2 linked regions of the Oryctolagus cuniculus genome follow. The protein of the gene in region 1 binds, or shares a complex with, the protein of each later gene. Links are inferred from orthologs where the notes say so. Each region holds a gene or a part of one and is shown on either strand. Other genes may lie near its edges.

Region 1 (6,271 bases):
TGGAAGGGGGGCGACCGGGACAGAATCTGGTGCCCCGACCGGGACTAGAACCCGGTGTGCCGGCGCTGCAAGGCGGAGGATTAGCCTAGTGAGCCGCGGCGCCGGCCACCTTTGTCTTTTAATCAAACTTATTTCTTGTTTCTTTTTTTTAAGATTTATTTATTTATTTGAAGGCAGAGTCACAGAGCAAGAGGAACAGGCAGAGAGAGAGAGAGAGAGAAAGGTCTTCCATGTGCAGGTTCATTCCCCAAATGGCCACAATGGCCGGGGCTGGGCCAGGCAGAAGCCAGGAGCCAGGAGTGTCTTCTGGGTCTCCCCCGGGGTGCAGGGGCTCAAGCCTGGGCCATCTTCTGCTGCCTTCCTAGGACGTGGCAGGGAGCTGGATCGCAAGTGGAGCAGCTGGGACCCAAACCATCGCCCATATGGGATCCCGGCCCTGCAGGTGGCGGCTTCACCCGCTGTGCCACGGCAGAGGCCTCTAATGAATCTCTCGCTGACACGAGTGAAGTGTGGAAGAGGCTTCCCCGGTCAGAAGAGAACTGCAGTTGCCACCTGCTGCCTGTGGTGTTCTGTATGCTCGTTAGCACTCGGGACAGCGTTAACCCCGGCCAGACACAGCTCAGCAGGCGCGTGGGAGCAGCAGCAGCAGCAGTGTTGTATCAGTCCCGTAGCCGCCCTGTGTCCTCAGAGCGCCCACTCGCACAGGGGAGACACATAAGGAAATACGCGCCTTGTTCTGGACAAAAGCCCACCTGGGCCTTGTGCCGGCATCGATAATAAAAGACCCCTTCCTGGCACAGGCCCTGGGGTCTCTGCCATTGCCACAGGAGACTCACACCGGGGTGGGTCAAGCGGGAGCCGGGAGGCGTGGGCAGAATGGGGCGGACCAGAGGGAGGAAGGGGGTCGTGCAGGGGCTGGAGAGCCTCCCCCAGGGGCACCAAGTAAAGACTCCATCGCCCAGCGCGGGGGCGCCGGGCAGACTGAGCCTCGCAGAGCACGGGGCTCACCCAGGGCACGGTGAGGTGCTGGCTCCAGGCAGGGCCCCCCGAGGGGGTGGGAGATGGGTAGGAGCAGCCCGGCAGGGCCAGGGGAGAGAGCCTGGCTGAGCGAGCCGGGCGGCGGCTGTGGCGTCCTCAGAACCACACGGAGGCCCTGAAGGGCCGGGATCGGGCGTGATGAGAACCTCACTGCTCGAGCCGTGAGGACCATGGACAAGGCGCCCACTGCGGGCAGGCAGGGCGGGGCTGGGCGGCCCAGGAGATGCAGTCAGGCGGGCAGCCTCGCTGACGGAGGGCGTGGAGGGGTGGGTGGACCGGGGCTGAGGGCCACGATGGACACACGAAGGCCCAGGAGACACGGTCAGGTGCAGAGGAGGCGGGGTCAGGGCCGAGGCCTGTGGGCAGCTGGACCCTGCAAGGTGTGCGGATGCTCACACGCATGTCCCCGGCCCTCCCTCACCCGCCGCCCGGCACGGCCTGCGGAGCGCACGCCCCGGTTTCTTAGGCTCTTGGGAGAATTGCAGTGTGAATGTGTGTGTTCCTTCCGGTAGGAAGCAGGGGCTGAGCCCTAACAGCGAGCAGGGGGGCTCTCTAGGTCACGCCGGCTGTCCCCAGGACCCCGCGGGGGGCTCTCTAGGTCACGCCGGCTGTCCCCAGGACCCCGCGGGGGGCTCTCTAGGTCACGCTGGCTGTCCCCAGGACCCCGTGGTCCCTCAGCAAGGCAAGGAGTCTCAGCCTCCGTGCAGCCCGCAGCCCGTCAGCTCACAAATGGGAGAAATTGCCGTTCGTGGCCGACCTGGATCCCACGCGGAGGCGCTTGTGGGCAGTCGCTCCCGCCCCGGACTTCCTGAGTGCTCATCCGAGTGACCTCGGGTGCAGATGGACCCCGGGAGATGTGTCTGTCGCTGGTGTGGCTCAAGATGAAACCAACAGGACACGGCCGTCGCAGGGTCAGGAGCAGGAGAGCCGGGGACCGGGAGAGGCCGGGAGGAGCCAGGCGCCCGCCCCGCAGCCTCCCAAGCCCAGGATGCAATGGAGCTGGGGAAGCCACCCCTGGCACGGCTGCCCTGGGCCCCACAGAGGCTGCAGCCAGAGGAGGAGGCGGAGACTCAGCGGAGCGTTTTGGGGAACTGACCCATGACAACGGCACCTGCTGTACTTCCCCTGCCCGCCCCCCGCCCGCCCCCGCCGCCCTCTCGTTCCTTCTCTCTCACAGTTGGCTGAAAGGTGGGGCCACTTCCGCTGCCTTTGCAACACCAGAGCCTTCTTAAGGGGAGCCGGGCCCGTCCTGCCCCCACCGCCCGTCCCTGGCCGCTCCCGACACCTGCTTGCACCTGACCATGTCCCTGGCGGAGGCCATCAGCCTCTGGAATGAGGGGGTGCTGGCGGCTGACCGGGAGGACTGGAGGGGGGCCCTGGCCGCCCTCTGCGCAGTCCAGGACCCGCACGCCCGGATCTGCTTCAACGTGGGCTGCGTGCACGCCATCCTGGGAGACCTGCCTGAGGCAGAGAAGGTGAGTGAGGGCTCTTCCCACCTCCTCAGTGTCCGCAGCCTCTGCCCTCGGGCTGGTGGCCACGGAACCCAAATCTCCAGGGAGCTTCCGCATTAGCCCAGAGCCCCCGCCCAGCTGGCCTGGGCAGGGCCTGCGCCACAGCTCCCAAAATTCCCCAGCTGCTCGGGAGGGGCGTGGGCAGCCCAGGCCGGGAGCCGTGACCAGGGCCAGGCTGTCCCTCTTCCCCCTCTTCTCAGCCGTGATGGCCCTGACCCACGGGGCACTGGTTCGCTCCGTCTCCGTCTCTGTCCCCGTCCCGGCCACGAGGTGCCCCCAGGGCAGCCCGGCCCTCTGGCTCACCAAGAGCTGGCTGCATCTCCAGTGCGCGCCTAGCTAACCGTGACTGACAGGGCGTCAGCCAAGGGCAGGGCTGGGGATGGGGTCTGAGCACCTTCTAAAGTACTTTTGCCTCTCGCGTACCCCAGTGGGGGCCAGTGGGGTCAGGGCCAGGGAGACGCCCCCGGGTCCGGCAGCAGGAGCGCTCCAGGCAAACGGCGGCGCCGCTCCTCCCTGCACCTTGGGTCTCCAAGGGCATAAACACCGCAGCGATTGCGTGAGACACGGAGCAGGAAGGCGCCGCCCCGTCTCGGAAGTCAGCTGTCACCTTTGCCTGCTGCTGCGGATCCTCGCAAGGCCCTGAGCGCAGCCAGGGCCACACCCACCGCAGGCAGAGCCGAGGGTCAGCGGGCAAGACCCCGGCGGAGGGCGCGGCCGGGGCAGGCCCTGGAGGGTGTGGGTGCCGGGCGTCCCCGCGCGTTCTGTGTCTGGATTGTTCCCTGCCTCGGCTGCCTAAGCCCCATGCTGCCAGCCTTCCGGGTAAATTCTTATTTATTACTTTAATTTTCATAATGAACCATTGTATCCTGATCCAGTGAACTTGAAAGGCAACACGCCCCTCATGCAGAGGAGAAAACTAGGGCTCAGCTAGAGAGTAGGGAACTTGCCCCATGCCACGCCACGAGGAAGTGACAGGCGCGCTGACCCGTGCCCTGCCCAACGCTGCCCGCGGCCTCCGACCTCCTCCACCCTCTCCGCAGGCCTTTACCAAGAGCATCAGCAAGGACAGGCACCTGGCCGTGGCCTACTTCCAGCGGGGGATGCTGCACCACCGCACGGAGAGGTGAGGGCCCCGGGCACTGGGAACTGTGCAACAGCTCAGCGCGGGAGGCAGCGGGAGGGCAGGCCTGAGCTGCGCCGGGGCACAAGGCAGCCGCCACTCGCAGTGGCCTGGCGGCCACAGGGACCTGACGGTCAGCCAGCACGGCACCCACCGTGCGCTGCGGGACGAGGCGTGCCGTGAAACCGCATCGGCCTGGCTTCATCCCTGGTTACGTCCGTCTGGTGAAGTAAAATCCAGCCGCAAACGAGAGAATAGAGCAACACATCAGGTAGATGTGCTGGACCGCGGCCGGCAGTGCTCACGACGCCCGCATCCGGGTTCAGTGCGCAGCTCAGCTCCGGCCTGCCTGCAAGCTGCGGGGCAGAAGTGGCGGCTCAAGGAACTGGCATCGCGTCCCTGCCATCCACATGGGCGCCCTGGGCTGGACTCCCAGCTCTGGCGTCAGCCCTGGCCCAGCCTAACCTGCAGGAAGTACCTTGGCAGATACGAGCTCTCTGTCACTCCGCCTCTCTGCCACACGAGTAAATGATTTTTTAAAAAATATTCTATGTATTTATTTGAAAGCCAGAAATACAGAGAGAGAGAGAGAGGAGAAAGAGAGAGAGAGTCTTCCATCTGCTGGTTCACTCCCCAAATGGCCGTGACAGCCAGGAGCCAGGAGCTTCCTCCAGGTCTCCCACGGGGGAACTTTGGCCATCTTCTGTTTTCCCAGGCCACAGCAGAGAGCTGGATCGGAAGTGGTGCAGCCGGGACTAGAACCGGCACCCATGTGGGAGGAAGGCACTGCAGGCGGCGGCTTTACCTGCTACACCGCAGCACCGGCCCCTACCTGCATTTTTGATGTGTTTACAGTGTTCACATGAAATAATTAGTAAAAAGCTGGCGCCGTGGCTCACTTGGCTAATCCTCTGCCTGCGGCGCCGGCACACCAGGTTCTAGTCCCGGTTGGGGCGCCGGATTCTGTCCCGGTGGCCCCTGTTCCAGTCCAGCTCTCTGCTGTGGCCAGGGAGTGCAGTGGAGGATGGCCCAAGTGCTTGGGCCCTGCACCCTATGGGAGACCAGGAGGAAACACCTGGCTCCTGGCTTCGGATCGGCGCAGCTTTAGCCGTAGCAGCCATTTAGGGAGCAGAACCAACGGAAGGAAGACCTTTCTCTCTGTCTCTCACTGTCTAACTCTGCCTGTCAAAAAAAGAAGAAGGAGGAGAAGGAGAAGAAAAGAAAGAAAGAAAGAAAGAAAGAAAGAAAGAAAGAAAGAAAGAAAGAAAGAAAGAAAGAAAGAAAGAAAGAAAGAAAGCAAGAAAGAAAGAAAGAAAGAAAGAGAGAGAGAAAGAAAAGAAAGAGATAATTAGTAAAAAGAGAAGCATTCACAGACTTAAAGTTAATCCCAACCTCATCAACAACCGGATGACGATATTCTAAGCCTTAATTGCTGATCTTTGGTGCGTGGCACACTGGCCTTGCAGGGCGGGTTCTTCCTCCAGTGTGCACGGGGGCAGTGGCCAGGAATTCGGCTCAGGCTGAGCTAGAACTTCCTGGCAGTGGCAACGGTGGGCGCCTCGTGTAGGCAGAGGCTGATGGACGGGGAGGCTGTGCAGATGCTCAGGGGTGCAGGTTGATGGACGGGGAGGCCCCGAGGACATCCAGGCGTGGGGCGGGCTGGCTCCTATCCTGGGCCGCCTTTGGTCAGCAGCAGGCCCCTACAGCCAGGCACTGGGCTGTTGCTAGGGGCAACCACAGGACGCTCAGAGGAGTCAGAGCTGAAGGAGAGGAGGGAGGGGAAGCGGGGGCGGAGACGCTGCGCCCGCGCAGTCGGGGTGGGCGCTGGGGTGGTGTCCGCTGCGGGTGTTGGACCTGCTGGGCTCACACCTGGTCTGTGCACCTGTCTGCTTCTCCCGCCCCAGAAGCTCCAGTGCAGTGAGAGGGAGGCCCGGCTCCCGTGCCCGGGATCCTCACCCTCCGGCCTGTGACCTGGACGCGGGAAGCAGGTGCAGGAGGAGGCGCAGGGGCAGCAGCGGGGTTTGCTTTGGGGGTGCGGTCTCCCCTGTCGGGGGGGCTTCAGCACTGCTCGCTTCCTCTGGGAATCTCTGCGGTCTCCCGGTATCTCCTGGTGAGGCTGCGCTGAACTCACGGTCAAGGGACCGCAGGTGCAGGTGGGGAGGGGCGTGCGCAGCCCGTGGCCACGTTGGATCAGCCCACCAGAGGTGCGGTGTGGGGTGCGGGGCTGTTGGCCGTCCCAACTCCTCTTTGGCAACTAGCAAAGTGCAGAGCCCCCGCGTGCTTGATCTGACCCCACGCAGCCCCTTGCAGGATCCCCGCCTGCCCAGGGGCCTGCCCCACCTGCCCCCACTTTGGGCACACCAGCTCCAGTGCGTTGGTCGCTGCTGGCCTGGGCCTGCGTCAGGTGGAGGCAGGTGGCACAGTGCCAGCCCCCAGCACAGGACCCAACCAGGAGAATCTTTGGAAAGACTCTTGCCTAAGGCGTGTGGGAGGAGGGGTGGGAGACCAAGAGCCGCAAACCAGGAGGCTGTGCCAGGCGAGCGAGGGGGCGAGGAGCCGGGAGCCCCTGAGGGGATGGGGCTGTCAGAGTCGGTGGAGAAGG
Region 2 (5,810 bases), on another chromosome or scaffold:
AGCCTGTGTGACTTCCCCGCCCGCTGTAGCTCAACAGTTCCCCGAAGTGAGGAAGCACAAAGCCTCTGCAGAGGACCCAGAGGAAGCGGAGGGGAGGGGCGGGGCAGGGAGGGGAGAGCAGGGGAGTGCAGGGGAGGGGCGGGGAGGGGAGAACAAGAGGGGAGGGGAGAGCAGGGGAGGGGAACTTTGCCCCCCAGAGAAGCCCACAGGCACAGGGGACAGAGCAGGGTCGGCACCAGCTCTATGTCCAGATGCACACAGCTAGGAGGGGGGAGTTGGGATGACAAGGGGGAGCCCCCATCCCCAGGCCTGGGCTGGGGAGAAAGAAAGGGTGGGGCCGCTCGTCCAAGTCTCACACTGGAGGGAGCCGGCGCCCCCCCCACCCCGGACTCCTGTCTGGCAAGGACAGCCAGCCCTCAGGTCCCCTTGTCATCACCCCCCAGGCTTAGAGGGGCCACCGGCACTTGGCCGCGTGTTCCTGTAGGGGCCCGTAGCACTTCCGCGCCTCCCACACCCACCAGCAGCTGCCTCTTCCCTCACACCCACCCCCACTGCTTGCCCGGCCTGGCTCAGCTGGGCCAACACCAGGGTCCTGAGCTGGGGGCCTGGCTGCCCACGGCTCTGCCTGTGACCTGTGCCCGTGCTGGGTCACCGGCCACCACCACCCGCCCGGCCTCAGTCTCCGTCTCCAGGACTCTTGATGGGCGATGGCCCCCCTCCACCGGGCGGCCCCAGTGTTTGGTCCCCAGGGCTGGGATGTGCACCCTGCCACCTCCTAGGTGTGCGGCCGGAAGCCAGCGCCTTCCCCCCCCTTTCCAGTAAAGTGGGGGTGCTAACAGTCCCCCCCGCCGCGTCACTGCTGCAGGAATGGAGTAGGAGAACCTTCTGCCCAGCTCCCAGGAACAGCCATATTCAGCCATGATCAGCAGCAGGGAGCAGAGCCGCCCCCAGAATTCGTCATCCCGGGGCTGGGGAGCCCCGGGGGAGGGGACAGAGGCAGCCGCTGCCTCCTGGTTAGTCCCGCAGGGCCCCGCCCTCCCCCAGGCCCAAGGTGCCCAGGTCACAGCATGGCCATAGCCCTGCCCTGCCCCACCCAGGGCCAGCTCCAGGAGAGAAGCACCCCCAAGTCCTGTCCCCGTGAGGGGAGACGGAGGCCCAGTGAGGGCAAACCACTACCCCAGGGTCACACAGCCAGCAAGGCCCAGGCTGAGAGCCGCCGTCTGGGACACATACAGGCTGGCCAGGAAGGAGGAAAGGTGGGGCCGCACCCCCCAGCCCCCGCGGGGCCTAGGACGGGGCAGGGGACCCAGGGTTGGGGCGTCGGGGTTGGGGGGGGCTGGAAAGATGGCCGCGTCCCAGGCCGGTCACGGGGAAGGCGGGCGGCACTGCGGTTTCTCTTCCTGTGAAGGGATCGAGGCCCTGCCAGTTCCGGCTTGAGGCCACGATGGGGCCCAGGCAGGGAGGGGTGGGGGTGGGGAGCCCTGGGGGACCCTGTGGGGAGGCTGAGGGCGCAGTGCCCAGAGGCCCAGGTGGCCCCGGGCTCCAGGCACCACAGGAGAGGCCGGCCCCACAGTGGTCACCTCCCTGGCGCAGCGGGAGCCACTCTGAGGAGCGCCCCACCCCTCCCCCACCCCTGCAGTAATTCGCTGCCCCTCCTCCAAACCACAGAGCAGCCACCTACTCGCTGTGTGACCTGGGATGTCACTTCCCCTCTGCCATCTGCGGGCAGGAGCAGCTGGGCTGAAAAGGGGGAGGTGGGGTGGGGGTAGGGCAGACGCCGTGCGTCACCTTTCCAATCTCAGACAGCGACACCTCCTCCAGGGAGCCTTCCCAGAAAAACCCAAGCTTGCCTTGGCTCCACACAACCCCAGAACAGCCTATGCCATCCCTGCCTCTCTCTGCCCTTGTCTTCCAGTGCCACGGCCACTAACCACCACCGTGTACTGCCCGCCAGGCACCTCGTGTGTATGGGCTCAGTCCTCCTGCCGAGGTAGGCACTGTCACCATCGCCTGCTCTCTGAGCCAGGAAACACAGGCGCAGAGGGTCTCGGCAGTGGGCACATGGTCATGGAGCAGAGGTATGGCACAGCCCGGGCTGACCGCCGGAGCCTGGCCCGGGGCGAGGCTGAGCCCCCGCGCCCCACCCCAGCCCCAAGCCTGAGCCCCTACCGATCTCCTTGGCCAGCGCCAGCCCCTGCGGGTAGGTGATGGGCGCCAGCTTCTTCTCCTTCAGCTTCTCGATCGTGTCCTTGTCGTCCCGCAGGTCCAGCTTGGTGCCCACCAGGATGATGGGCGTGCTGGGGCAGTGGTGCCGCACCTCAGGGTACCACTGGGTGGCGCCGTGCAGACCCCGGAGACAGCGGTTGGGGAGAAGATGGGAAGGAGAGGCGCGAGGAGGGGGTGTGTGGTTGGAGGACGCAGGTGCAAGGGGAGGAGAGAGACAGGGTTAGAGGAGGCAGCTGGCCAAGTTCCCGGCCCAGCCACCCTCGGAGACGCCCAGTCACGGGGCCCCCTGAGCCCCCACGCCAGCCCTGGGATCCCCGCCTCCCGTCCCGGGTCCCCGCCAGACCATCGCTCTGCGGCCCTCACCTTGGCACGGACGTTCTCATAGGAGGCTGGGCTGACAAGGGAGAAGCAGATGAGGAAGACATCCTGGGGACAGAGCGGGCAAGGGGGCTCGTGAGGGGGCACCCACAGGTGTCTCCCCAGCCTCTCCCCCGCCCCCAGCAGCCACTGGAGCAGCCCAGGGGACATGAGGGCCCCGTGACGCCGGAGCCCCTGAGGCCGAGGCCGGGAAGAGTGGGCTGTGGTCACAGAGCTGGGGGGGACACGAGCGGGGGTCCCTGGCTCTGCCTGGGAAGGGCAAGGCCAACTCCTCCGGCGGGGCCTGCAGGAGGCCAGGCTGGCTGGAAGGGCATCCCAAGCAGAGGGGACAGAGCGCGGAGGCCGGGCGTGCGAGGAGGTGGGGGCCGCACACCGTCTGGGGGTAGGAGAGCGGCCGCAGGCGGTCGTAGTCCTCCTGGCCAGCTGTATCCCACAGCCCCAAGTTCACTGGCTTGCTGTCCACCATCACATTGGCTGAGTAGTTGTCAAACCTGCAGGGAGCGGCAAGACAGACAGCAAGGTCAGCCCCGCGCTGTCCCATTCAGAGGCCGAGACCCAGAGAGGGGCTGTGACCGGCCCCAAGTCACACAGCGCGAGGCACTGGGGTGGTCCTCGTTCTTTCGGGGCTGACCGTTCTATCAAACAGGGATTAATCTTAGGTGACAAAAGGGGTCATTCATCGGCCCCTAACTGTCCTGAGAAGGCTGCGTACTGTCCCCCCAAGGCCACGCCCATGTTGTCACCCGGGACAGGGAGGAAGAGCAGCCAGCCAAGGGCACAGTGCTGGGGACCAGGGAGGGCGCAGCGACTCCGCCCAGGCCTTCCCAGAGCAGCAGGACACAGGTGTTGAGCCGTGGGCAGAGGGCCGTCTGGGGGCCTGGCAGCCCACCCCAGAGCACGCGGGGACAGCCGTCAGCCCGGGGCCGGCACTTCCAAGTGGGCCCTGTGACGCTGGCACCAGCGCCCCTGCCGGCACCCGCGCGGCTTCCGGATTTCCTGGCGTCAGGCAGCGTGCCAGTGCGGGGGACGCCCGGGGCCCGAGCCTGCCACAGTCCTCACTGACATTCCCCGAGACGCAGGTGCTGGGGCCTCCTGCTCTGGATGGTGAACCCGGCATCAGAGAGGGCGAGGGCCTTCCCGTGGCCACACAGCCCTGAGCGGCCGAGCCACTGCTGTGCCTGCAGGCACGCCCCCCCCCCGGCCCTGAGGCCCCAGGCCCTGCTCCTCAACCCCCCAGCTGGCCACTGAGACCTCTAAGACCTCCGCCTCCTCCTCTTCCCCCCGCCATAGCACCCAAGCCCACGCCCCCTGCCTCCCTGCACGTCCCAGCCACGCCCTGCCCACGGCGCCTGGCCCCTTGGCTGTCCACACGCTTCCACCGGCCTCCGCCAGCTCCCCTCCCCAGCCCTGGCCGCCAGCCACTGGCCATCACTGCCCCCTGCGCCTTCCTGCCCGTCTTCACCCAGACTCCTATTCAGGCTTCAAAACCCTGCCCAGCTAACTCCTCCTGGGGGGATGGGGAACTCCCCTGTCCCCTAGCCACAGACAGCCCTTTGTTCCCAGCTTTGGGGGACTGTTTCACCTTGACCAGGAGCAAACATGTGAAGTGTCCCTCCCCCACCCTCACCCCGAGGCGCGGGCTCCGAGTGGGCGGGGCTCCCACCGCTTCATCTCCACACCCGTGAATGCAGGCGGAAGGCAATTAAACCACTGTTCACCGCCCCCTCGGATGCCACCTCCTCCAAGAAGCCCTCACTGGGAGGCAGCAGAAAGACAACTTCTCCTGGGAAATCCCCGGCCCCTCCCCCACACAAGCTGGTGGCCTGACCCCTTTTTTTTCATACTTGGTACTTCCTGGAGAGAGTTCCCAGGCCTCTCTCAGTTCCTCAAACTGCCTCCTCCCTCCTGCCTGGAAAGCTCCTGCCATCACGCCCTCGCTGCCCGCTGGCCTTCCTCCCTGCCTCCTCTTCCCCCCAGGGCCAACCTCTTACTCATCCCTCCGGCCCCAGCTCAACCTCACCTCCTCCAGGAAGCCCCTCCTGGCCCCAGCAGGTGGAGGCCTAGCCCAGCCCCCCAGGCCAGCGCTGGGTGAGTGCCACTGTGTAAGCACCAGGAGGGGCCTGGGGAGGAAGGCGCTGCCCCAGGAGATAGCACTGGGCATGCCGGGAAAAGACGCACCTGTGTCACTTTCGGCTTTGGGTTTGGGTCAACCTTGGGGTGGCACCGCCCGAAGTTCTGGAGCGGAGCCGGGTCTCCTATGGTGCTCAGGGCCCCGGCAGCAGAGAGCTGGGACTGCAGCAGCACCCAGGAGGGGCCTTTGGTGTTGAAGTGACCCGAGACACAGGTGCCTTACAGCACGGGGGGGCCAAAGGCCGAGCCACCCGTCCAGGGGCTGCCGGCTCCCAGGCAGAGGACCCGGAATCCCAGCCCTGCTCCGCGGTGACAGCGGTCAGGGGGTGAGCACAGGAGCCACCCAGGGCGGGGAGGGACAGGGTTCCTGGGAAGCCGCGTCCTGCTGTGTGACCTTGGGCAGGCAACCAGCCTCTCTGAACCTCGCTGTATTCACTGCAAGAACATGCATCTCTCTCTCTCTCTCTCTCTCTCCCTCCCTCCCTCTCTCGGCCTTTAGGGGGACTCGCACACACACAGAACACCCTAGCCACCCCTCTGGGACACACTGAGAAGCAGAGAAATCTCAATTTCCATGTCCCCCAAAGTCCCGCCCACCCCACCCAGGACCAGCTGCCGGCGCAGGGGGCACCCGTGGCGGGGCCTCCTGGGGGTCTCCGTTCCTTAGGGGAACGCAGGCTGCCAGGACCAGAGGAGCCTCGCCCCACCCTCCACCTCGCCCCCTTTCCCAGTGAAGAAGCCAAGGCGCACAGTCAGGCCGGTGGGGGCACAGTGGGAGCTGCACCCTGCCGCCCAGACAGGGCAGGCTGTGTGGTCAGCAGGGCCACTTCTCCCAGCGTGAGGACCCCGCCAGGCCCCCAAGGAGAAAGGATGGCGCATCCTGACGCCAGGGGCCCCGTGTGGCTGGAGACAGGGACAAGGGCGGCCTGAGGGTGGGCTCAGGGCTCTGGGCAGCCAGTCAGGGCCTGGGACAGGATCGGGGCGGAGATGAGACTTGCCCTGAAGGACCCAGGCCCCTCCCGGCCGAGGGGAAGCTGGAGACCAGCGGGGAGCGGCCCTTTGAGACCCGAGGGTGG

The links. The genes of interacting proteins can lie anywhere in the genome.
Region 2: NCF2 (region 1) and RAC2 share a complex: the UniProt entries of both Homo sapiens proteins name them as parts of the phagocyte NADPH oxidase complex. The link is inferred for Oryctolagus cuniculus from reciprocal best matches to the Homo sapiens genes NCF2 and RAC2.

The regions. Positions count from the first base shown.
Region 1 is NC_091444.1:1,498,316-1,504,586, reverse strand, and holds the start of NCF2 (neutrophil cytosol factor 2), read left to right. Parts: upstream 1-2,315; 5' UTR 2,316-2,339; coding exon 2,340-2,513; intron 2,514-3,589; coding exon 3,590-3,672; intron 3,673-5,573; coding exon of another isoform or gene 5,574-5,657; intron 5,658-6,271. UniProt on the Homo sapiens protein: Subunit of the phagocyte NADPH oxidase complex that mediates the transfer of electrons from cytosolic NADPH to O2 to produce the superoxide anion (O2(-)).
Region 2 is NC_091442.1:114,249,885-114,255,694, forward strand, and holds part of RAC2 (ras-related C3 botulinum toxin substrate 2), read right to left. Parts: intron 3,096-5,810; coding exon 2,978-3,095; intron 2,653-2,977; coding exon 2,590-2,652; intron 2,330-2,589; coding exon 2,170-2,329; intron 1-2,169. UniProt on the Homo sapiens protein: Plasma membrane-associated small GTPase which cycles between an active GTP-bound and inactive GDP-bound state.